7 linked regions of the Canis lupus familiaris genome follow. The protein of the gene in region 3 purifies or fractionates together with the protein of the main gene of each other region. This does not show direct contact. Links are inferred from orthologs where the notes say so. Each region holds a gene or a part of one and is shown on either strand. Other genes may lie near its edges.

The links.
Region 1: the proteins of IFT57 (region 3) and IFT46 purify together in Homo sapiens (affinity purification with mass spectrometry; 3 studies listed by BioGRID and IntAct, counting the BioPlex papers as one, with this or other methods). This does not show direct contact. The link is inferred for Canis lupus familiaris from reciprocal best matches to the Homo sapiens genes IFT57 and IFT46.
Region 2: the proteins of IFT57 (region 3) and IFT20 purify together in Homo sapiens (affinity purification with mass spectrometry; 3 studies listed by BioGRID and IntAct, counting the BioPlex papers as one, with this or other methods). This does not show direct contact. The link is inferred for Canis lupus familiaris from reciprocal best matches to the Homo sapiens genes IFT57 and IFT20.
Region 4: the proteins of IFT57 (region 3) and IFT74 purify together in Homo sapiens (affinity purification with mass spectrometry; 3 studies listed by BioGRID and IntAct, counting the BioPlex papers as one, with this or other methods). This does not show direct contact. The link is inferred for Canis lupus familiaris from reciprocal best matches to the Homo sapiens genes IFT57 and IFT74.
Region 5: the proteins of IFT57 (region 3) and TRAF3IP1 purify together in Homo sapiens (affinity purification with mass spectrometry; 3 studies listed by BioGRID and IntAct, counting the BioPlex papers as one, with this or other methods). This does not show direct contact. The link is inferred for Canis lupus familiaris from reciprocal best matches to the Homo sapiens genes IFT57 and TRAF3IP1.
Region 6: the proteins of IFT57 (region 3) and IFT172 purify together in Homo sapiens (affinity purification with mass spectrometry; 3 studies listed by BioGRID and IntAct, counting the BioPlex papers as one, with this or other methods). This does not show direct contact. The link is inferred for Canis lupus familiaris from reciprocal best matches to the Homo sapiens genes IFT57 and IFT172.
Region 7: the proteins of IFT57 (region 3) and IFT80 purify together in Homo sapiens (affinity purification with mass spectrometry; 3 studies listed by BioGRID and IntAct, counting the BioPlex papers as one, with this or other methods). This does not show direct contact. The link is inferred for Canis lupus familiaris from reciprocal best matches to the Homo sapiens genes IFT57 and IFT80.

What each region holds. Positions count from the first base shown.
Region 1 is NC_049226.1:15,210,234-15,213,733, reverse strand, and holds part of IFT46 (intraflagellar transport protein 46 homolog), read right to left. Parts: intron 602-3,500; coding exon 471-601; intron 1-470. UniProt on the Homo sapiens protein: Forms part of a complex involved in intraflagellar transport (IFT), the bi-directional movement of particles required for the assembly, maintenance and functioning of primary cilia. May play a role in chondrocyte maturation and skeletogenesis.
Region 2 is NC_049230.1:42,552,294-42,556,508, forward strand, and holds the end of IFT20 (intraflagellar transport protein 20 homolog), read right to left. Parts: intron 3,787-4,215; exon of another isoform or gene 3,592-3,786; 5' UTR 3,556-3,591; intron 3,395-3,555; 5' UTR 3,393-3,394; coding exon 3,266-3,392; intron 2,161-3,265; coding exon 2,075-2,160; intron 1,522-2,074; coding exon 1,418-1,521; intron 934-1,417; coding exon 852-933; 3' UTR 501-851; downstream 1-500. UniProt on the Homo sapiens protein: Part of intraflagellar transport (IFT) particles involved in ciliary process assembly. May play a role in the trafficking of ciliary membrane proteins from the Golgi complex to the cilium.
Region 3 is NC_049254.1:13,948,606-13,952,105, forward strand, and holds part of IFT57 (intraflagellar transport protein 57 homolog), read right to left. Parts: intron 3,326-3,500; coding exon 3,194-3,325; intron 1,850-3,193; coding exon 1,787-1,849; intron 982-1,786; exon of another isoform or gene 892-981; intron 1-891. UniProt on the Homo sapiens protein: Required for the formation of cilia. Plays an indirect role in sonic hedgehog signaling, cilia being required for all activity of the hedgehog pathway.
Region 4 is NC_049232.1:45,480,058-45,482,597, forward strand, and holds the end of IFT74 (intraflagellar transport protein 74 homolog), read left to right. Parts: intron 1-96; coding exon 97-157; intron 158-1,732; coding exon 1,733-1,851; 3' UTR 1,852-2,040; downstream 2,041-2,540. UniProt on the Homo sapiens protein: Component of the intraflagellar transport (IFT) complex B: together with IFT81, forms a tubulin-binding module that specifically mediates transport of tubulin within the cilium. Binds beta-tubulin via its basic region. Required for ciliogenesis.
Region 5 is NC_049246.1:49,114,781-49,117,692, reverse strand, and holds the end of TRAF3IP1 (TRAF3-interacting protein 1), read right to left. Parts: intron 2,187-2,912; coding exon 2,021-2,186; 3' UTR 501-2,020; downstream 1-500.
Region 6 is NC_049238.1:21,489,865-21,493,864, forward strand, and holds the start of IFT172 (intraflagellar transport protein 172 homolog), read right to left. Parts: upstream 2,801-4,000; 5' UTR 2,637-2,800; coding exon 2,598-2,636; intron 1-2,597. UniProt on the Homo sapiens protein: Required for the maintenance and formation of cilia. Plays an indirect role in hedgehog (Hh) signaling, cilia being required for all activity of the hedgehog pathway.
Region 7 is NC_049255.1:26,534,619-26,538,118, forward strand, and holds part of IFT80 (intraflagellar transport protein 80 homolog), read right to left. Parts: intron 2,632-3,500; coding exon 2,496-2,631; intron 2,085-2,495; coding exon 1,937-2,084; intron 286-1,936; coding exon 114-285; intron 1-113.

The sequences.
Region 1 (3,500 bases), on a different chromosome or scaffold from region 3:
TTTTTTACTGAAGCATCACCCAGGAACATCTGCCTCCATGTGGGGCTCCTGAAGTCCTTATTCTCCACCCCTCCAAAAAGGAGCTGAGCCTAAAGCAGAAATGGTCCTGTGCAGATATGTTTTCCTTGCTAAATAGAATTGCTTAGGGATGTACATACATTTTATTTTCCGTTTCCCAGAATGAGAGCTCCTTGAAGGCAGGGACCATCTTTTAGATTTACTCAGCAAATCCTCATGAACCCCCCAAACCCAAAAATGTTTCAGATGATGCAAATGACATCACAGGACTCAGTGAAGCAGTGCAGCCCAAAAAGGAGGAAAATTCATTGTTGGTTTCTGAGACATCTGAAAATCCTACTAAGTAGGGGAGATCAAGAGAGATGCTAGAATTTCACTCCCAACTCATCTCTTCCCAGGCCAGTGTATTCCTCCCTGGCTTGGGGGATCCTCAGCTAGGGGGCTTTCCTCACCCTTCCAGAGGGGCCCCATGCTCTTCATCATCATCATCTTCATCAGATTCTGTCTCAGATGAGTCGTCATCATCATCATCATTTTCACTGAAGCCTCGTTGAGGTGTCAGCTGTGAGGTCTTTTTCTTCTCCTGAGATGGGGCAGGGCAGGCAGAGAAGGCACCACATAAAAAGCAGCTTAGTGTACCCATGCCCCGAGCCCTCCTACTGCTCCCACAGACACCCTCCCGCCTGGCACCAATTCACCAGAAAGAGAAGGTGGCGCTCCCCAGAAAGGCCCCAAGGACTTTCATTTACTCCTGCCTAGCTACAAACTGGGTCCTCACTTTCTACAACCATATTCTATTTTTCTCCTTGAGGCTTCTGTATAAACTTTATCTAATAATTATCTATTTTGTCTGTTACTTAGGAGACCCTCAAAACTATGCATAAACTTATCTATTCAGCTTCAACTCCAAAAGTTAGGGGCTTTTAAAGAAGCAGAAGGTAACTGTGATGAGTTATTTTGGAAGGAAATGGGGGACCATGAAGTTGGAAGACAAATTTAAGGAATCTTCATACTCATAAGGATCACAGGAAATCTAGCATTTAATCTGCAAGATGGCCCAGCATAAGTTGCTTCTAACTATCTGAAGAAGGTTCATAATTAACCCTGTGCCTGAATTACGACCAGCAGTTCCAGACTGTGGGTCTTCTTCCATTCAGTCACACTTCTCCTCGGTAGGAACCTGACCTACTCATACTTCCCTTCCCTTCTTCGAAAGTTAAATGCAATGACATGTTATATCTAAAGATAAGAGACTCTCCCGCTCTTGGCATTAAAATCTACCTTTCTGAGCTTCTGGTTCTTTAAGTATCATCCTCTCCTCTCAAGTGTACGAGGTGGAGTCTGGTTTGGGGACTTGCAGGGGCATTGGGATGGGGTCCATGTCCTTGCCTCTGTGGCCTGCAGCCTATGGTATGCCCTCACGACCTGAAGGATAACCAATTGGCACCCTTTAAAAGTAGGTTTTGAGGAGCCCCTGACTGGCTAAGTTGGTAGGGCATGTGACTCTTGATCTCAGGGTTGTGAATCCATTTATTTATTTATTTATTTATTTATTTATTTATTTATCTATTCATTTATTCATTCATTCATTCATTCATTTATTTATTTTTTAGGGTTGTGAATTTAAACCCCTTGTTGGGCACAGAGCTTACTTAAAAATAAACAAACAAATAAATAACTTAAAAAATAAAAGTAGGTTTTTGAAAGCTTGGTTTCCATATGCCATATGGCTTTTTCTTTTTTAAGATTTTTATTTATGGGATGCCTGGATGTCAGCAGTTGAGCGTCTGCCTTTGGCTTGGGGCATGATCCCAGAGTCCTGGGACTGAGTCTCACATCAGGCTTCGTGCATGGAGCCTGCTTCTCCCTCTGCCTGTGTCTCTGCCTCTCTCTGTGTCTCTCATGAATAAATAAATAAAATATATTTTTTAAATTTTATTTATTTATTTGAGAAAAGAGAGCACAAGCCAGGAGGAGGGGCAGAGGGAGAGGAAGAAGCAGACTTTCTGTGGAACAGGGAGCCCAATGTGGGGCTCAGTCCCAGGACCCTGAGATCATGACCAAAGGCAAAGGCAGACACTTAATTTACTGAGTCACCCAGGTGCCCTGCCATATGGCTTATACTGAGGTTAAGAGATGTTTGGTTCTAGGTTTAAAAATTATTTAACGTTTCTCTTACAGTAAAGCAACCATTGGCATATTAAAAAAATTGTGACAATACAATACATCAAAAATGCTTCTGGTCATGTGTTCTTTTAAGCATAACGGATTTATTATACATGGATTAGGATATATTTTAACTAATCCGTAATATGTGTGTGACAAATGACACAAAGTTGCGCAATTTATTTAGTGACTATGCTTTATTGGTATACATTGATAAGAATCTCATAGTGGTGTGGGTTTCTTATTTTTTGTTTTTTGTTTTTTTTAGAGAAAGGAGGTAAGGGTAGGGAGAGGGGGAGAGAGAATCTTAAGCAGGCTCCACACCCAGTGTGACCCCAATGCAGGCGGGTTGGGGGAGTGTTTAGATTTCACACCCTGCTGACCCAAGCCAAAATCAAGGGTCAGATGCTTAACCAACTGAGCTACTCAAGTGCCCCAAAGTGTTCTTTCTTTCTTTTTTTTTTTTTAAGATTTATTATAAAAAAAAAATTATTTATTTATTTATTTATGACAGACAGAGAGAGAGAGAGAGAGAGGCAGAGACACAGGCAGAGGGAGAAGCAGGCTCCATGCAGGGAGCCTGACGTGGGACTCGATGCCGGGTCTCCAGGATCACGCCCTAGGCTGAAGGTGGCACTAAAGCCCACTGGGGCTGCCCAGAGAATGTTCTTTCTTAATTCAAAATCTGCCAAAGCTATCCTTGTTAGGGAAAGGAGCTTTTTAAGAATACCTGATGGTCAATTTTAAGATCATTCAAAAATAGATCCTTTCTGCTGATTCTGGTTGCACACTGAATTAGATAAATGAGTCTTGAACATTGGCCACAGCATGATGGAGACTAGAAAAATTTAGGGTGAATGTACAAAATTAGAAGGTCAGTTTAGGAAACTGCTCACTTTTACTTTGGTTCTTCAAAGCTATGCTTTGCAAAATCTCTAATCTAAAGGCAGAGGGGCTTTATATGCCACAGACAAATGCCTAAATACTTTGTGCATAAAATGTTAAAATAGCATACTAGGGACGCCTGGATGGCTCAGCAGTTGAGCGTCTGCCTTTGGCTCAGGGTGTGACCCTGGAGTCCTGGGATCAAGTCCCACTTCGGGCTCCCTGCATGGAACCTGCTTCTCTATGTCTCTACCTCTCTGTGTGTGTCTCTCATGAATAAATAAATAAAATCTTAAAAAAATAATAATAAAAAAATAAAACAGCATACTAGTCACAAAATGGGACTACTTTATTTGCTTTTTAAAAAAGATTTATTTATTTACAGAATAGGAGAGAGTGCATCAGCATGCACCCTTGAGTGAGGGGAAGGG
Region 2 (4,215 bases), on a different chromosome or scaffold from region 3:
TTTAAATCTCCTAATTCATCCTCTTTCCAAACCTTAGTCTTGTTTTTACAGACCACCTGACATAAGTCCCTTCACTCTGAGGTCTGGTGTCTCAAACCTGATGTGGAAGTGCGCTTCCTATTGGATCACTTCACCCTTCCTTATACTTTCATCATCCTTCCTAGCTTGTTCACCAAGTGGCTTGGAACACCACTTCATTGGTGTTCCTTAGCTTTCTTTAAATTTATACTCACGGCCAACTCAAAAAATCAAACACTTGTGAACACACATGGAAAATAGTAACTGGTCCTGTTTGGTTGCCCTTTTTTGTCTGTTTTGCTCACAAGCCATACTGGTCTGATTGTTGGGAGTATCATCTGACTCATATGTCTGGTCCAAATAAAGGTACCTGCTGACCACTGCCTGGTTTGTTTTATGGACTATTAAGGGGCTAACATGCAGGATTCTTTCAAGGTGTTAAATATACACTTCAAGGGCACCAGGAAAAGAGATAGATCAAGCCATTTGAAAACAATAATTTATTGCTCTTCCTTTCCAAAGCTATGTGAATTTACAAAAAAAGAAGAAAAAGAAAAAAGGATCAGAGTGTACAGACTGCTCAGTTCAGGCTAAGAATGCCAAGAAGCGAGAGCCTGGACCACCATGGCTACTAGGTGTTCACCAGCAGATGCACATGGCCATCTGCAATAAGCTCCCCCATATTGGTTTACTGCCTTCAGAGATGCTGTGTTCCTTACACACCATCTCTCAGGACAAACGTGGGTCATTAGTCAAGTCACTGGAACGGCACAGAGGTTTTTTGGGTTTTGTTTTGTTTTTTTGCCCTCCTGCTATAAAATGAAACTTTCAGTTCATTTCTGAAAAATAAATTGGTCAATAAATTCATTTTGTTCTGCTTCTACTTTACACAAAGCTTCATATTCAACCCGATACCTGAAAAACAAAATTGTGAGAAGCCCTAAGAATGGATGAAATCAACCATGGATTTAATTCTACAGAAAAATATAACTGATTTGAACAATGTCAAGACATGGTGTGAGTTCACAGTGATGTTAGGATAAGAAAGAACAAAGGAAAAAAAAAAAAAGAAGAACAAAGAGGCAAAGCCCAACCTAGGGCCACCCTTAAGAAGTCTCCAGCCCTGCCCAAGAGGTTCTTTCCTTTCAGAGAACCAGCCAACTCCACAGACAATTGCTACCTGAGCTTTCAAGCTCTCAAACTAGTAGAGGTGGTTTTTTACTAACAAATTTTCTATTCTCATCAAATGTAATTTTATTTTTTAAATCTTCAAATCAGGATGACAAATGAGATACTATTCTGGGAGGACAATGATGAAAGGTAAGAGGTGACCAATCATGAAGGAAAAGTAGAATTGCAGTTGAGTAAAGAACTTGCTTTATACATCATAACTTCTTACCTTTCAAGCTGCATTTTCTTTTCTGCTATTAGTGCTTGGAGTTGCTGCTGTTGGGCTTCTCTTTGTTTTGCTATAGATTTGAGCAAGTTCCGAGCACCAATGGCCTAGAAAAACAGTATTATCAAAGGTCATGGCTTCATTAATATCATCTTCAGCATTAAGTCCTCGGCCAAGGAAGGGCCACTTGACTATCTCAGCCCCCAGCCAGCAAGACAGTCAAGCCCCAGAGCTTCGGGAATGAGGAGGAATGACTGATCCCAAAGTGCCTGATAAGACCCAGGCTGCAGTCTCCGGGGCATGTCTACAAGTATCCCTGAGTCTGGCACACAAGTGGTCAGTGGCCCATTTGGTGTGCCATTTTGCCTTGTGTCCTTTGCCAAGTCCTCGGTACCACGTATGCCTTCATTGCTTCAACTTACAAAATAAGCATAAAACCAACTATCTCAGTGTTGTGAAGATTAAAGAAAAGAATAACAAAGTGTACTAGCATGTAAGAGTTCAATAAGAGGGTAACTGGACTTGTTACTTAAAATCCTGTTATAAATAAATAAAAATCCCACAGCCCCCACCCCACCTCCAAGAAAAAGTCAAGATGGTAGGAGGAGAAGCCAGTGAACCATGTCCCAGGCCAAGATTTAGAAGACATGCTGATCTTACCTTCATCTTTTCATTTTCTGCTTCTTTTGCAAGTTGGTCAACAAGCTCAATTAAACCACCAACTATTTTCTGAAACTGGCCAATTTCTTTTAAGGAAAGAACAGAAAATAAAATGTTTTATTTTCTCCATGTGTTCCCCTGTGGCAAGAGGGCAGGGCTAACTGCCCCTTCTAACTTGTGTCAAAACAGTTTGGTGCCTGTTGGCCTAAAGTCTTCTGCCCTTGATCTAAATCCAGAGAAGGGTGCTCAGGTACCCAGGACTCGACCAGGGTGTACTTGGACCTTGAGTCCCAACTGAGCCAGCCAGTGACTGTTAACCTCAGGTAGGAGGCTCCTGATGGGCCCATCCTCTGCATAGACTCCATCCCGCTTTCCCAGGAGTGATGGGAAGCACAAAGGGCCATGTTCACAATAGGACTGACTGAGGACATGAAGAGAGCCTCTTGCCTAGCCACAGATAAAGCACTAGATTTCAGTTCATGGTAGTTGGAGGGGGTGGGGGGAGGGTTGCCAACTGTGACCAGAGCTAATAACTCAAAGCATTTAAGTGCCTAATCTCCCATTTGCTTTTTTCAATGTCCTTGGGTGTGGTGGGATCTCATTCTACTGAGATCCTGAACTAGGACCCAGGAAGAAAGGACAATACGCAGTGAGAAAACTGGCAGTGGAGCTCATGCTGCCTTTCACCAGTCGAGCTCTCTACAGACTATGGAGTGCCCAGAAGGCTCAGAAATCCCTGCTCTTCAACCAACAACAGAAATCCCTGCTTCAGCTAGAGCTGCTCTGTATTCACTGCCACTGGGCTTGCTTGCCTGGATATCAACCAAAAAAAATGACTTCGTTGAGTCTGTTGAGCCTCCAAGAAATCCAATCCAATCATGAGTACATAACTATTTCCCCACCCCAAGCCAGCCACAGTTCTGCCCCCCATGAAGTTCAAGCAAAAAAATCAAGGATGAGATACCCTCTCTCCATTTCACCATTGGTTTTCATTGGTGCTCTGTGTCTGACTACATGAGAACATTAGCAAGGAGACAAGGCGATTGGTTTCTGGGAATTCACAAAGGCCTGACACAACTTCCAGGGAGCCACTAGCTCCATTCTGGCAGAGACAAGAACTGCGAGTGGGGGTGGGGCCAGCCAGAACAGCTCCGAGCCAAGTGGCACCATGTCTCCCTGAGTGACACTCACTGTCCACAAAGTCCTTGCACTCCTCCTTGAGCTCTATGGTCTGCTGGGTGACCTCAGGGTCCAACACGCGCAGCTTGTTCAGTTCATCAAAGTGCAGCCCTGCTTCACCCAGGATGTCCTTGGCCATAGCTGTGAAGAAACCAGCCTCAGTCCCTGATCACTTCCCAGCCACCCTAGGAAATGCCTGCATCCAGCCCAGGCCCACTCCCACTCCCAGACACCAGTGCCAAAAACCCAGATTTTCCTCCAAAGGCTCCCCTTCCCTCTGCCTCCATCTCTCTGAGCCTCACCTGTTTCCCTTCCGGCTTCCCTAGAGAAGAGAAGCTCTGTGATAGTGGCAGCCAGGAGGAAGTGTCATAGGAGCAAGGGTCAGGAAAGAATAAAGTCCAGGTGGCTTGTCACTGGCATCGTTCATTCAACACACATTTCTTGAGTGCCTACTACATGCCAACACTGCTAGATGCTGGGGGTACAAAGATGAGCGCAACATGGTGCCCGCCCGGGAGGAGTACATAGTTTAGCTGGAGGAAGACAGACATGGAAACTGAGAAAGTATACTGTGTTAAGTGCTTTTACAGAAATATCACTGTTGCAGGAGAACAGAACAGTTAACAAGGTGAGGGAGTAACATTTGAACTAAATTCTGAGAAGCCATAAGCATATTTATCCCCAATTATGTACCCAAAAAGACGTGAAAGATCTTTTCCAGCACAGTACTAGCATAACACCAAAAGCAAGTAAAAGAGGAAATCTGCGTGAATTAAAAATCAGAGTTAAAAAATAAGCCAGGAATAAGAACATTACCCACAATGTATGCCACAGGCTATGGCATGCTGGCCTGCACTAGAACCAAGGTCCGTTCCATCGCTTTATAGCAGAAAACACAAAAAGGAATGAAATATCAGCAAGAACGTATCAAGTGAGGAGGCTACGGAAAGGCTTTCCAAGCA
Region 3 (3,500 bases):
GATCTAATACATCCATAAAGGGACATAAACATATTAGGAGTGTTCTGGACATAATTTGAATAATAAAAGAGACAGAGAGACAAAGCTTTTTATCTTCTGAGAGTGCTCCTAACATTAAACTTCACCAAATGATGTTTTCAGGTTGTCACATGACAATAAAAACTGATCTAAGTTGTTGTTTTAGGCATCAGACATGCAAACCTTGTAGTTATCTCCTAGCATCTACCATGCCAATCCTTTTTTTTTTTTTTCTTTTTAGAGAGAAAAAGAGAGCAGGGAGGTGGGGTGGGATAGAGAGGGGCAGAGGGAGAGTGAGAGAATCTCCACGCCTGACTTGGAGCTCTGTCTCACAACCTTAAGATCATGACCTGAGCTGAAATCAAGTCAGACACTCAATGGACTGAGCCATCCAGGCATCCCAACCTTGCCAGTCTTTAATAATGAGTTATTAATTAAAACAGTATATACATTCTGAGAAGATTTTGGATTTCTAAGGCTTAGTAGGTATCTTTCTTAATATTATAGTTTTATAAGAGAAGATGCCATCTTTTCCTGTATAGGATGCTAAAAATAACGTTTATACCATATGGCTGTATATAAAAATATTCCAACTGCTCTATCCAAACCGTGAACTCCAAGAGGCATATTGTGCTGTCATATTGGCTCTTAGCTGTATTCTACGTCATATTCAAAATTATACTACTATAGCCTCTATTAGTAAAATTCCAACCTAGAATATTAGCTTTAAAAGTTTTTTTAAAAAATTATATGACCTAGAACTAAGCCATAATTATTGTAACTTACTAGGCTTTATTTTTATCATACTGGTGAGTAAAAACTTCCTTGGGAATAAAGTGCTCATCCAAGTAAAGCAAATTAATTTTTTTTTAGGCACCTGCAATGTTACAACTGGGGATAACTACCTCCTCCAAAAGAACTAAATGGGTCCCTGGACTCCCTTCAAGTGTTAATTTACCTAACGTAAGTGAGCACTTTACTTCTACATAATGTTCTATTTGCCTAGAAGCACCACAGGATTAGAGTCTAAATATTTCTAAAGTTACACTTTTAGTATTCTAAAATAACTATTTATGCCTCAAATAATCTCTATAAAAGAAGCTTAATTCTATTATATTGAAAATGTCTGTGACAATTACACTGGATTATAACCAAAGACACTCTTGTACATTGGCTATTGACCTTGTAAGAATTTTTTTTCTCCCGGCCCTTCAGTAAAAAATTGGAATATATATTAGATTGTACCCCTTTGTGTGATGATGAAAATCAATGCAACAATATATGCAAATATTTCAGAAGTTCTCAGAAGGATAGCCACTTCCAGTTTGTAGACAGAAATACTTAGGATCACATACATCAGCAGCAATCACTAAAAACAGATCTTATATCTTACAGACTAACATTAAAATTAATTATAAGACATTTAAGCCAGTGCTTTACCTACTCTTCTATGTATTAATCATGACTACTCTGCTTTTAAAAAGATTAAGGAAGGTTATAAATGTGCTAATATTATCAACAGGTTCTATGTTGAATTTAATAAAACAACTTCAGGCATTTTATGGGAATAAGAAGTATATAAATACATAATTGATTCATTGATAAGAAAACTAGGGATTTTCTCCTAAAGAAAAGGACTCAGAGCCACGGGAAGCAGTTGCTGAAATAAAGAGCGCCCGGTTGGAGCAGTATTAAACCACAATGACTCTGCATGGCTGGGGCCAGGGTGCAGCTGAGGGTGAGGAGAGGGCGAGAGCGTGGTGTGCACCTCAGACAGGAGCTTGGTCCTTTCCGTTACTCCGCCATTACCCTGCTGGTATCGCTCCCGTGCCTAAGGGAGAAAACATTTTGTTTAATGACAAATTCACAACAGAAGCAGATTACTTAAATGTGACCTCTTTGTGTTTGCGATTTCTGCATATCATTTTATGACAGCCCCCCCCATTTGTGAATACATTTGTGAAAGTGACATTTAACTGTAGCTTTTTTATGTCCCTAATAGGCGCGATGTATTTAAACTAAGGCACTATAAAATGATAAACTACCTTAACCTTCATATACTGACTGTGTAACTCACACGGGCATGGTTCACAATAAAAACTGTCCTCAGCTATTCCTACACAGTTTAGGAGAGCAGCTCTTGGTCGATGTAATTTGCATGCTATGCAGAGAAAACCAGTTCAAAAAATCAATCATAACAGAGCATCAGGATGAGCAATTAATAAGGATTAACAAATGGTATGACAGTACGGAATATGTTCTTGGGAACTAATCTAACAATTATTTAGTATCAGTGTTTGACAGTGGTTTTAATCAGACTTTTTACAGCATTTTGAAAGTAAAAACATCCATGAGTATATATGTATATGAGGGAATAATTTGTTAAATAAATAACATAATAAAACAGTGAAGATTGTTTTCTGTTTGGTCTTTGAGAACTTCTGAAAGTACAGAAGTATCTTAAGTTGATTTCCATTTTTTCCCTTCTTCTAACCTTATTTACTGAAAGAAAAATAAAAAACTCTTCAACTAGCATTTCTAAGTGTTCTTACTAGCCTTCCTCAACATCAGGAAAGAGGGGGCATAACTCCCAAGGAAAGCCTTTAGATCCCTACTGGGGTACAAAGAACCACTGCTTCCAAAGGCTGAAGGTTTTATTTTTTTGGTTGAAATTCTAAAACCTTGAAAGGATTAAAAAATTTGCTCATTAAATTAATTAAACTGCTTGTCTCTGAACGTGTCTTGCTTTCATATTCTTTATTATGTGGCTGTAAGCCATTAAGGCAATGATGTCTTTTCCCTCTGACACATGTAAATGCATACTATTCTTTTTCCTCCTACTCACAGGGTAAATTAACGGCAGACTAAGAAACAAAACCAGGTGTCCTGACACTCTGTTCCTGTTCTAAGCAATGTTCCCCAACAATACATGTCTTCATTTATTTAAATCAAAAGAAGAAATGCATTTAAAGACTTCTAGGAGATAATTTCTATTGCATGTAACATGGAGATGACAAGTTCTACTGCCTCACGTGGCTTCCTAAAGTGGGCAGAGTATCCATGTGTTGCTGTTTGGGAGAAGCATTTCATGATTCTCAAATGAAAAGTGCTGTGTCAAGTTTGGGAATTAAGGTCATTAACTGAAATAAATCCCTGAATATCATTCCTAAGTTACCTCACTCAGTTGGGCTTGGGCTGCACGATATTCTTGAACCAAATGCTCAAGCTGGTTGTTGATGTACTTTTCTCGGCTGCCGATCTTTTCCAGAGTTCTACTAATTTCATTATGAAGTTTATCCAAAAATCCCTAGAAATTCCATAGGATTTTAGTAGATAAAAGAACTCACAAATACATTTTTCAAAAATAGTACAAAATGGGCTAAATTTCCTTCAATCCATCCCACAAATTCCCAACCACTTGTGAAAAAGAAGATAGCTTGAAATTTTCAATAGCAAAAGAAGTCTGTAATGAGAAATATTTT
Region 4 (2,540 bases), on a different chromosome or scaffold from region 3:
TTAAAATTTTGAATGTTTTTTTTTCTTATCCTTTAAAAACGTGTATAATTGTTTTGAATATGGGTACTGTTTAACATTTCTATTTTGTGATTTTAGCTTACAAATTTGGAGAGGAAGTGGCAACACCATGAGCAAAATAATTTTGTGATGAAAGAATGTATCCTTTAAAAAGAAACAAATGACTGAGTGATTTTTGTTTTTTAAAAATGTATTCACTTATTTGAGAGAGAGAGAGAGAGAGAGAGAGATCTGTCAGGGGGCATGGTAGGTAGAGGGAGAGAGCATCTCAAGGAACCTGAGATCACAGCCTGAGCCCAAACCAAGAGTCTGACACCCAACTGACTGAGCCACACAGGCACCCAGAGTGATTTTTTTCCTAAGAATGTTTTAAAGACGGAAATGAAATGAAATTTAATATACACTTATCAAATACCTAATATGTACAAAACCTCAATCTAAACTATGTGGGGAATAAATGAATGAGACTTCGTTTCCAATCTACAATAATTAGGGTGTGTTTGTGTGTGTGTACGCGCGCACATGTTCTGTGTACATGCACACTCACAACCAAAGTAACAATAGAAAGCAGACTATACAAAGTTAGTGTGGCATAGTGACTGAGTGCACAGGTTTTGGAGCAAGGAGATCTAATTTTCAGTGTTGACTCTACTACTTGTAGTTTATGGACTTTGGACAATTTATTATTGTTAAAGTTTGTTTAAGCCTCAACTTTATCATCTCAAATATACTTAATATTTCTTTCTCATAGAGTTATTGGGAGAATTATGTATACCTACAGAAATATGTATGTGCATAATTGTTTGCTGTTGCTTATAGTGCTGTACCTTGGATATCTGGGCAGCAAAGGGAAGTAAACACATTAGTATCTTGAGAAATTTGACCTTCAAGCTCATCTGTTTCAGCCAATTCAACTTCACGTTTTTACCAAGATGGCACTTATATCCCACCTTCTTGCTTTATCTTTTTGTGTGATTATATAGGAGGAAGCACCTATTTGAGGACATATGTTTTGAAATTGTAAGAAACACTTCTTTGAAAGTTATTTTCTGTTCCTTTCTTTGACCCTTTAAGGATATCTCTGCTTGGAGAAGTAGTTCCTGACTCATTGGTAGTTTAGATTCTCCTCCAGGAAACTGCTGAACTTCAGCTCAGGGCAGCATGGATCCCAGCTTACTTCCAGATCAAATGCATCAGGTGCTCTATTCCTAGCAGTTGTTGCTACTCATTTTAAAAGCAAAAGACTCTCACTCAGTATGCTTTAGTCCAGCAGTCTAGTTTATGCAACACAAAGTAGGGGATTTTGAAATAGAGTGAATTCTAGAGACTTCTGTAATTCATTGCAGTACTCTAGAGAACATGGTTCTTCTGAACATTCAGTTGTTCTCAGACCAGAATTAGATTGAAATGCACAACATTAAGTATAAAAAGCTATTATGGGTGCATTGGTAGCTCAGTCAGTTAAGTGTCTAACTCTGTTTTGGCTCAGGTCATACTGTAGGTGAACTTTTTTTGAAACACATTTTCCTTAGCCTTTTAGATTTCAGTTGATCTTAATCTGTTAATATATTTTTTTAAATATATTCTAATTGTTCTTTTTCTGGCCATTTTCAGTTTTCCATAAGAAAAATACCAGTATGATTTGGTCCCTTCCTAAGCCAAAGTGGATTACTGTTTTTGTTGATCACTGTTCCCCCTTAACTCATGTAATTAGTCATAGCAACCAAGAGTCAAGAGAGTGATTACCAGTCAATTATGAAGAATGTGACCAAGCAGATTGCAGAATACAATAAAAGCATTGTGGACGCTCTACATAGCATGAGCAGAAACTGAGTCTGAACCAACTGCAAGTCTCTATAATAGTATGCTTTCTGCTAAACTGTATGTTGACTGAAAAAGAATCTCATACCCTTGAAGAGTTTTACCTAAAATTTTTAACTACTATAATTTTTGTGACCTCTTTGAAGAGGTATACTACTTTAAACAGCATAATAGTTCAATAAAAAGTTTGCATACAGAAAAGCATTTTTTTGTATTTTTTTTGTGTGAGTGATAAAAATGTCTCAGACAACCAAGAGATAAACTAAAAGTGGCCGTTGAGATTGATTTAGTTGGTATAATCCACCTATGGCAGCAAATGAGATCATTTTTTAAATGTGTCAACTCTAGAAGGGATATACGGAGTGAGATTCTGACTTAGCACTTACATCAATCTTGTCAAGTTTTGCTTCTAGAAAAAGAAAGAATGGAAGGCAGATGTTTAGTTTTGAGGTTTATTTCTCAAATAGGGTATATTTGATGTATTCTAAGGAATATAAAGTTGCAGGTAAGTATATTAACTCATATTCTTTGCATATCAGTTATCCCTAAAGATTCAGAATTAAAAACTTTGACCTTTGTATTTTACAAATATTTTCTTACGTGTATATGCTAGGAAAAACATGAAGTTTAAAAGAAATGCTGCACCTATGGTAGTCTGTTTTAGACAATGGCTGTTGCTGTTCATTGTCACTCTGGAGTAT
Region 5 (2,912 bases), on a different chromosome or scaffold from region 3:
GAAAAGAAAAATAAGCATGAATATCAGGCCAGAAAGCTCACATTTTAGTCCTGAATGTTTTTCCCAAAGGTTGACACATTTTCTTTGAATGTAAATGAACATCAGTTCAACTTTTAAATTAAAATTCCTGCAGTGTGACTTCAGCCCTCCTGGAAATGTCCAAGCCAAAGTAGAGGAAAGGGCTTACTAATCCCCTTTGTGTATTTTCTCAAAGCAACAAGTAACATCAGCATTTAACGCGTCTCTGATACGATACCGTAATAATCACACAGGGAGAGGGTCTGTAACTTCGTGAATGACCTTAAATTTCTGACAAATGCTTACCTGTCTTATAAAACTTCAACTTATACATTAGAGTGAGAAGTGTCACGATATGAATGAAAAGATCAATTTCCCTGAACTTTCTTCACAAGAAAAACAAAAATATATGCGTTCGAAGATAAAAAAATCCAAATGCTTATGTTTTTCCAGCTGTGAACTGAATCGCACAATCCATACACTTATAGAAAAAATATGTGATTGTTTTTAATGATTTATGTATAAAATAAAAATAAATTTTATGATACAATTTGATAAACTTTCATACAAAATTCTACTCACATAAAATGTATGCAGTTTTTTTTTTGCAACACAACAATTCTATTCGTATGTACAAATTCATAAAAGGCAGACACATCTTGAAGCAAAACGGTCAATTGAGGGTTGTGGCTAAGTTGTTCAACTCAGAAGAAAAGAGACAGGTATATGGGGGACTCATGAACTGACACCCCTCCCACCTCCAATAATGCATTCAGTGCGATCTGATCAAACAATTTTATGGTGCACGGTAGAAATGACAAAGTGGCCAACGTGTCAGAACGGCAGAGCTTAAGCTGATCTGGAACTTACTCAGCTTGGGAAATCATATAACCACCTTAGAAAAGGATTTATTCTGGAAATCACAGTAAGGAAACCTAACCTGTGCCATCTGTGCTAATCCTTAAAGAAGCAGAACTTTCTCAGGCAATTCTAACATTTAAATGGCACCGTGTGGTTTGCACAATAAATATCTAGAAATAACAGTATCGGGACCCAGACCTTACGACCTGTATGTCTCCAAACACTGGAATCCTTTATATACAAACTTAAGACTTTCCTAAGTATTTACAACACCATATGTGAGTGAAAAACTAAATATAAACCATGTTCTAAAAAAAACCCTTGCTTTAAAAAACAATTTCCAAAAAAATGGTAACATCAAAAAAAATGTTGCAAATCAGTGCGTCCCCTGAAGCCTCCCTTCAGCTGTCTGCCCCGAGCTACTCGCCTCTTAGGATCACACGTCTAGGGGAGGACCAGGCAGGATGCCAAGGCCGCGGGCGCAGGCGAGTGCGAGCCCCCCGGAGTCACTGCTCCCTACCTGGGGAACACCCTGGGGGCAAATGTCCACGAAGGACATACTAAAATCTCCTTAAATGAATGAACTTTAAGGCAGGACACAGAAGCCAGAGGCCGTAGGGGCTGAGGAGAAACTGCCAAAGAAACTCACGTGTACTTTATAGAGATACAGCCTGAAGTGAACCCTCTCCAAGGGGAAGCAAACTCAAAATGGAGCGGACTCATTTTCAGGCCCCATTCGACTTGCAGTGCCCATCAGGAGCAGTCATCCTTCACCTGCTCCACGCAGGGTCCGGTCACCAGACCTAAGACCTGAAAGGAAGGCCGCCGGTCCCCTGGCACGCCACCACCACTCACCTGCTGGAGGATCCTGGCGCAGGACTGAGCAGGACAGGCCGCTGCACACACGCAGAGCACGCGTCTGCACGGCGATACCCCACTGGAGGAAGGTGCGGACGCACGGCCCCTCTACACATGGGCGTGCCTGTGGTCTCAAGTGCGGAGCTTTGAGACCGCACATTGGATGGACGACGCTGAAAACTTCATTTTCTTAGGAAACTGCACTTAAAAGAGTACTGGCATTCTATCTTCCTTTTTATTGTCAGACTGAGGAAGATTTCCAGCTTTTGAAACGTCTGAGCTTTCACCTTCTCGAACTCAGATTGATGCTGTACACCATCCTCTGAATCTTCTCCTCGTTCTTCAGGACGTTGGCCTTCACGGCGCAGATCTTGTCCTGCTGGTCCTTAATCAGCTGCTCCAGCTCAGCCAGCTCGGCCTTCAAGGGCTCCACCGCGCAGTCCGTGATGCTGATGGGAAACACAGGGGCTCGTGAGTATCGGGTCTCGGCTTAGCTTTGCTTCCTCGTTAAAACAACGAAGGAAGACAAAAGTAAGGTATTCACAGCATCCAAAGACAAAGGGTCAAAATACAAACATACTCTGATAATGATGGAAAGGGATGAGGACCTCACACCTGTGAAAAACATATTTCACCACCCCACAGCCCAGAGTCCAACATGCAATTACACAGAGGAGCTGAATATTCAAGTCCTCACCTCACATTTTGCAGAGAACCCTGGGACGGCAGGGAGGGGAACAGTGCAGCCACCAAGGGCCGCCGCCTCTGCGCAGCCCTACAGGTGCCCCACCTTCCTCTGGGAGAAGCTCATCCAGCTTCCAGGGCTTCCCCATGGATGCCCCCTGACTCATGTGTTCAAGGCATGAGGCCTTTCAGTGCTGTGTTACCTGCCAGGAAAAATCTAGAACATTCTTCGGAAAGAATAGGGGGGCCTGGGTGGCTCAGTTGGTGAAGCGTCTGCCTTCGGCTCAGGTCATGATCTCACGGTCCTGGGATCAAGCCCCACATGGGGCTCCCTGCTCAGCCAGGGAGTCTGTTTCTCCCTCTCCCTCTGCCCCTCCCGTCCAATTGTGAGCTCTAATAAATTTTTTTTAAAGACTCTATACAAAAAAAACAAAACAAAAAAACAAAAAGAGTGACTGTTCCCAATCATCCTGCCACAAAGCAAACTCAGG
Region 6 (4,000 bases), on a different chromosome or scaffold from region 3:
TAATTTTATGTTTAAATGATCAACTTTGGGGGATCCCTGGGTGGCGCAGCGGTTTAGCGCCTGCCTTTGGCCCAGGGCGCGATCCTGGAGATTCGGGATCGAATCCCACATCGGGCTCCCGGTGCATGGAGCCTGCTTCTCCCTCTGCCTGTGTCTCTGCCTCTCTCTCTGTGTGCCTATCATAAGTAAATAAAAATTAAAAAAAAATAAAATAAATGATCAACTTTGGGACACCTGGGTGGCTCAGTGGTTAAGCATCTGCCTTCAGCTCAGGGCATGATCCCAGATTCCCGAGATCAAGTCCCACATTGGGCTCCTTGCATGGAGCCTGCTTCTCCTTCCTCTGCCAGTGTCTCTGCCTCTCTTTCTGTCTCTCTCATGAATAAATAAAATCTTGAAAAAAATAAATGATCAACTTTAAGCTTTGAAGAATGGATGCAGTTAAGTGAGAGGAATTATCTGAGGTAGAAGGAATGATATGAGCAAAGGCAAGTCTGGTCAAGAAATAATAATTAAAAAAAAAAATTAAAAAAAAAAAAAAAGAAATAATAATTTAATTTAGCTGCAACTACCTTGCAAATAGAACAGAGGAGGTAAGGCAGGAAAGACAGTGAGTCCAGCTCAAGAAAGATCTTTGAAATTTGGCCAAGGAGTTTGGGCTTATTTCGTGGGAAAGGGAGAGACAGTGAAAGTTCCAGAATAGGGAGTAAGACAATTAGAGTTGAGACTTAGGATGAATATGCCGCCCGGTTAGTTTTTTTGGATCCCCCCTCCCCCGCCCAAGGACTATGCACTGCACAGAAGCCCAATTTAGAAGTGACCATCTCCCAGTGAATTATTTTTGCCACATCTGTCTGCCACCAGCCCTGGTCCTCACTTAATGGTTCTGCACTAAGGATTTCCCTCCTTGAAATTAAACATTTAGCTTCTGCTCCAATTGCATGATTAATTACTTGGGCTCTAGAGCTCTGGTTTCAAACTTTGTTAATTTTCACTCCTAATCCACTTACCTGTGAAGTCAGAGATTTAAAAAAAAAATGCTTTCTTTATCAAAATTCTCAGAGTCAGAATATAGCCACACCACCACCTTCACCACCCTCCAACTCTTGATTAAATTAGGTTTGAAGGGCTCCTCAATAACCATTGTTCATCTTCCTTCATCATTTTGCCAACTCTGGGCATTCGCCCTTCCCTGCATCATGACATCCTATTTTCAAAGACTGAAGGAGGTTTTCATTTTCAATAATTCCATTAGGGTAAAGAAATCTTTAAATTACATTTTCAGGGGCAGTTTACTGAGCCAATGAGTACACTTCTCTTTTCTTCTCATTTCCCTCTGTTCTTTTTTTTTTTTTTTTAAGTTTCAGTTTATTTATGATAGTCACACACAGAGAGAGAGAGAGAGAGAGAGAGAGAGGCAGAGACATAGGCAGAGGGAGAAGCAGGCTCCATGCACCGGGAGCCCGACGTGGGATTCGATCCCGGGTCCCCAGGATCGCGCCCTGGGCCAACGGCAGGCGCCAAACCGTTGTGCCACCCAGGGATCCCCATTTCCCTCTGTTCTAATGCCACATCTTCTGTGAAGCCTTCCTGATTCCTCACAGCAGTCGTAAGGATTACATGAGGTAGGGAACAGAATAATGAAAGCTAATCTTTAACAAGATCTTACCACAGGCTAGGCACTTTGATAAGTGCTTAATATGCACTCTCCTTTTACCTCATAACGCTGAGACAGATGCCATTTTTGGGTACATCTTACAACCAGAAACTTGAGGTTCAGAAAGGTTAAGTAATCTGCTCAGGTTTACATACACAGTTTAGAAGTGGCAGAACCAAGATTTAAGTCCACGTATGTCTGATTCCACAAACCACAATCTTAACAACTAATGCTGCCCTGCTACCTATTAAACATTCACTTGTGACAGATATTTTCACTAGCTTTGTATGATTTTGTCCTTTGAATTTTGCTCTCCTCTCTTGTCTATCAGTTTTAATACTGCTTTTAAGTTTGCAATGGCCTTTGTGTACATTACTTCCTTTAACTCTTCCTCCAAATCCCCCTCAGGTTGCTAATTATTGTTACTCCCGTTTTCCACTCAGAGACTTTGTGTGACGAGGGCCAAAGTCAGCGGTATTGGGTCATTTATTTAAAGTAGAGCTGGCCCTGGGACTTGGATTCTGGTCTCCCAGCTCCAAAACGCAGCCTTTCTTTAGCATGGTTCCTCCCCCAGGGCCCCGCCTCTTCTGAATCTGAAATCTTCATCATCAGAATGAACGTGAGGTCTTCTGCACCCCTTCCTCTGGGGCTTGCACCTAGAGCCCTCGTTTCTTTGGGTGCAGACTTAGGCTCGTAGTTTACAAGCGCGCCCACCACGGGGCCTCCTCGTCCACAACTGAAGTTAAATGAACGGGCATGAAAGCTACCGAGGCTAAGAGGCCCGTCTCGCCTACTGCACACTATCGAGCAGAGTCGAATCATCCTTAGAGCCTTCAGTCTTCCGCATACAGTAGGCGCTCAACATCGTGACATTTCAGTTCCCCCTTTTCTTTGCAACGTTAAGGCGGGCGGGGAAGGGAAGAGGCACGCAACTCCTCACCTGAGGGCTCAGCAGGGTCCGCAGGTGCTTCAACTGCATGACGAACACCTGCCTCTCAGCTGCCACCAGTCAGCGACAACTCCCGTGGTTACCTGGACAACCCGCCACGCAGCCGCAGCGACTGCCGCTGACGCAGATGCGAGCGGGGCGCAACACACTTCGCAAGGTCACCACGTAGGTTCGCGGCGATGCAAACAGAACGTGCGCAGGCGCAGTGAGGCCTAGGGCGGGACAACGAGAGGGATGGAATCCTCTCCTTAACGAGCCAATCCCGGCGTTGCCTGCAAACCCAAGCTCAAGCCACGCCCACGAGTCCTAGGCCACCTCGAGGTCCTACGTAATCGCGGTGTTTCTCGCGCTGTGTTGCGAGTAAGTGTGGCTGAATGCATTATTTTGATCTTCACTACCTCGGAGGAAATCAGGGTAGTTGCTTCCATACGTTTTGCAGCGGATGGAATTGAACCCAAATAGGTTATATGACTCGCAGGGGATCGCAAGGCTGGCTAATAATGATTGCTAACTGAATACTCAGTATGCGCCTGCCAGGTACTGTGCATCATCTCATTCAATCTCAAAGCTGCCTTTTGAAGGGGTTGGCATTATTAGTCCCATTTTACATACCAGGAGTCTCAGGATTAGAGGGGCCACTTACCCAAACTAATAGTAAAGGCTATAACTGGGATTCAAGCCTGAGCTGGTGCTTTTAAACACCCTGTGTATTCGTTCTGAACTCCTAGCTCCCTGTCTCCATGCCATGCTTCTTATACTCTGTGCTACTTCCATCCCAAGAAACGATGTGTCCAGAGTCTGAGAGATGAGTGTTTTGAAACCAGTGGCCAATGAGAGGTGCTACTATACAATTAGGTAGCAGTGGATTAAAGACTGCTGCCCAGATCGGGATGCTTTTGTGGTTCAAGGCAGAGGGCAAACCGGAGCTTGGCTCGCCCGATTGCCTAAGATTAAGTCCTGTGATAACTGGGGTTGGAGCTTGGTTAAGTAAAAAGGATATTGACTTCTTGATCTGTATAGATCAATAATTCTGAAAGGGATCTGGGGTCCCTTTCAGAATTATTGTTCTAAATTCTTGTAACATACCAGAGCCTGAGATGCAGAAAAGGCGAGTTAGGAGAATTATTCTTATACCTCCTCTGGAAAAATCTGAAGCTGAGAAGACCTATACTTCTCCAGAAAGGGTAGCATATGCTGTCCAAGCAGATTCTGGGTTCTGAAGCCTTTCCCCCACCGTGGTTGCAAATGTCAATAGATATTTCTCTCACTGGCACCATCCCCCCCAGCCCCTTGGTATTTAGGGAAGAGTAGAGGAAAGCCCCTATTTATACAGGAAACAAGTAGCCCCAGAACCCAAAGTATAAGTCTTTTGACAGGGGAATTCCAATCCCTCA
Region 7 (3,500 bases), on a different chromosome or scaffold from region 3:
TTTCATTTGCAATTTTTCCAGCCCTTAGTTGTTACCATTTCTTATCTTGCACAAAGATATGTGTCAACTAATACTCAATATATACACAACTATGGATCTGAAATGTAAAGTACCTTCACAAAGCGACAAAGTCTTACAGCATCTTCCCATTTTGAACCGCTTACATATTCATGGAGAATAGCAGGATATGGTGATATGCTGATGTGAACCAGCGAGCCATCAGCTCTTCTTATAGTTACTTGATTTCCGACAAAACTTACAATATGGGGATTTTTACTAAATTCACTGTTGAAAAAAAGCAAAGTATAATTTATGCTCTGAGCAAAATCTTTCATATGTACTAAATTTGGGGAGTTGACCCTTGACACAGATATAAAGTCTCCAAGTGTCCAAAATTGACCCCCAAAAAAGTTAACTCCAGGGAGAAAGTATATATTTAAATAAACATTCAAATCTAATCTGCTATATGCTTGGAGTTTAATGTGACAAAAATTAACACATACTTGAGAGCTATGCCTAAAAGCATTTGAAATAATCTTTTTCACCTAAGTCTTAAGGTAAATTACACAAATGATTAAAAAACTCAGGGGCAGCCTGGGTGTCTCAGCGGTTTAGCGCCGCCTTCAGTCCAGGGCCTGATCCTGAAGACCCAGGATCGAGTCCCACATCAGGCTCCCTGCATGGAGCCTGCTTCTCCCTCTGCCCGTGTCCCTGTTCTCTCTCTCTCTCTCTCTCTCTCTCTCTCTCTCTGTCTCTCATGAATAAATAAATATAATCTTTAAAGAAAAAAAAATTTAGCATTAGCTTTTGAAAGTATAAACCAGTAAAAAATTAAGATGATTACAAGACTATTTTCTCATAATAAAAAGAGGTGAACTTGGGATCCCTGGGTGGCGCAGCGGTTTGGCGCCTGCCTTTGGCCCAGGGCGCGATCCTGGAGACCCGGGATCGAATCCCACATCAGGCTCCCGGTGCATGGAGCCTGCTTCTCCCTCTGCCTGTGTCTCTGCCTCTCTCTCTCTCACTGTGTGCCTATCATAAAAAAAAGAGGTGAACTTTAAGAGACTAACTTCTCTTTATTAATTTAAATACTTCTAAAATGATGCCTTTTGGGATACCTGGGTGGCTCAGTGGTTAAGCATCTACCTTCAGCTCAGCGCGTGATACCGGGATCTGGAATCAAGTCCTGCATTGGGCTCCTTGTGGGAGGCCTGCTTCTCCCTCTGCCTGTATCTCTGCCTCTCTGTGTGTCTCTCATAAATAAATAAATAAATCTTTTTAAAAAATGATGCCTCTCTGGTCTTACAAGAGTTATGAATATTAAAGTGAACTCAAAATAGATTTGAAAGTTAAGATAAGGTTTGGAGTTAAGAAGCTTTGCATTCTTATTTTGTCAAGATTGAGAGATCTTGTTATTTCTTAGAGAACTTAGGGATATACATGTATTTTCTAAAGCATGTAAAATTAAACTCTTCAGTTACCACATATTTTTAATCTTTAATATTACTTTAAAAATTCAATTCTAGAGACCTATACAGTCCTATAAGTATAGTAATTAGTAATTTATGATAATTCGAGAAAGAATAAAGGTTGACACACATTGTATATCACTGAAAAAAATCTAAAAAATGTCCATATTAAAATCACTAAACCACACTGAAAAAAAGCTACCTGAGTTTCATTAAATAACATTAGGCTTAAAATTATATTCATATAAGGAAAATTATGTCCATAGAAGGAATAAATATAGTAGTATTATACGACACTTTCAATTTGACCCCAACACTTAAATCTAATCTCATTAAGCTAGCTTTAGCTGAACAATTTCGTTGACTGAGTAGAGTGAAAGGTACCTTGCAGGATTAAAATCAGAGGCAAAAACATGACACTTTAGAGTCATTTATTACAATAAACAATTCCAACAGTAAAATGTTACCTTGCATCCCTTTCGTATAATGTTTTAGGCAAAATGTCTCTGTCCACATAAACTGTATTAGGATAATACCACACTGTAAATCGAGTATCTTGAAGTCCACAAAGGATATTACATGTATCACTCCATGCCAAAGTATGCACCATTGTTCCTTATTTTAAAAAGAATGTTAATGTATTATTAGTTCCACTATAATAAGCATTAAAAATATTTTAATAATCAACATACAAGACCCCTTCTAAATTCTGGTAGGTGTGCCTCTGTTTTCTGATTGTATAATGGTGAAAACATGTACAAAAACTCATTTAAAAATATATGGAAATATTTGAGTATTTGACCTGGAGCCATTATGTTTTAATTTCTAAGTCTTTCAATGCTAATGTGGTTATAGCAGCTAAAGACTTGCTATTTAAGTGGTGTTAAATAGTTAAGAAAAGTTATGAGACCGAAGCATGATTCGCAGATTAATTCAAGCAAGTATGCTATTTAGTATAATATATGACAGAGTAGATCTAAGAAAATTCAAAGTAATCAAATTTTAAATGTATTATAATTTTTTTACCAAGTTTGATAATCTGTTCTTCCTTCCCAAATCGTTTCACTGAAGTGATATAGAGATCTCTATTTTTATCAATGAACGCAATTTTTCTATCATTGGTAAGTCCCTTTTGATCCAGAGCAATTTCCAAGATTTCATTCTAAAATTTAGAAAAATGAAAATACTGCATTAATTTTAGTGCTTGACATCAGATCACTTAAGTTATTTAATTACAAGAATATTTGTTTATTTAAAGATCAATTAAATATCACCCCCTACTTAGAATGATAAAATGTCTCTGTTAACTACTGATATAATTCAAAAGCTAAAGTACAGTTACCTTTTTTTTAATTTACAAGGGAAAGATGCCCCGTAAAACACTAAAATGTATATCTTTTTGAAACTTCATAAGCTAGGAAACATTCCTTTTTTTTTTTTTTAAGATTTAGTTACTTATATGAGAGAGAGTCTGTGTACCAGTGGGAGAGGGAGCAGAGGGAGAGAATCATCAGGCAGATTTATGAAAATACCTTATGTTTTTAGAGTCTTAAATTTTATACATTCTTTTCAGATTCAATTCCTATGAAATAGCAAACTATCTTGTGTTATCGGTATTACTATACTTGCTTTATTGACAAGAAGACTGAGCTGCATAGACATTAAGTGATTTTTGCTCAGAAAAAGCTGGTAACAAGCACATCTAAAATTTAAAGTCCAGGTCTCTAACTTAAGATTAGTGTTCTGTCTATATAACAAAGCATTTCTGGCATACTGCATTAATCTATTATACTATTACAATAGCTTGTAAAATGAATTTCCTTATAACTTGGAAATGGTTTAGTGTGGATTCATTTCAACTCAATCAAAGAGTTGAAATGCTATTTACTGCCTACTATCTTAAGACTTGCTAGGACTTTTTTTTTTAGACTTGCTAGGATTTATTTTTTGAAGGTGTCACAATAATACCTTAAATGTCCATCATTTGGGCACAGGTTAAATAAATTCTGATATATCCATAAAATGTTATAC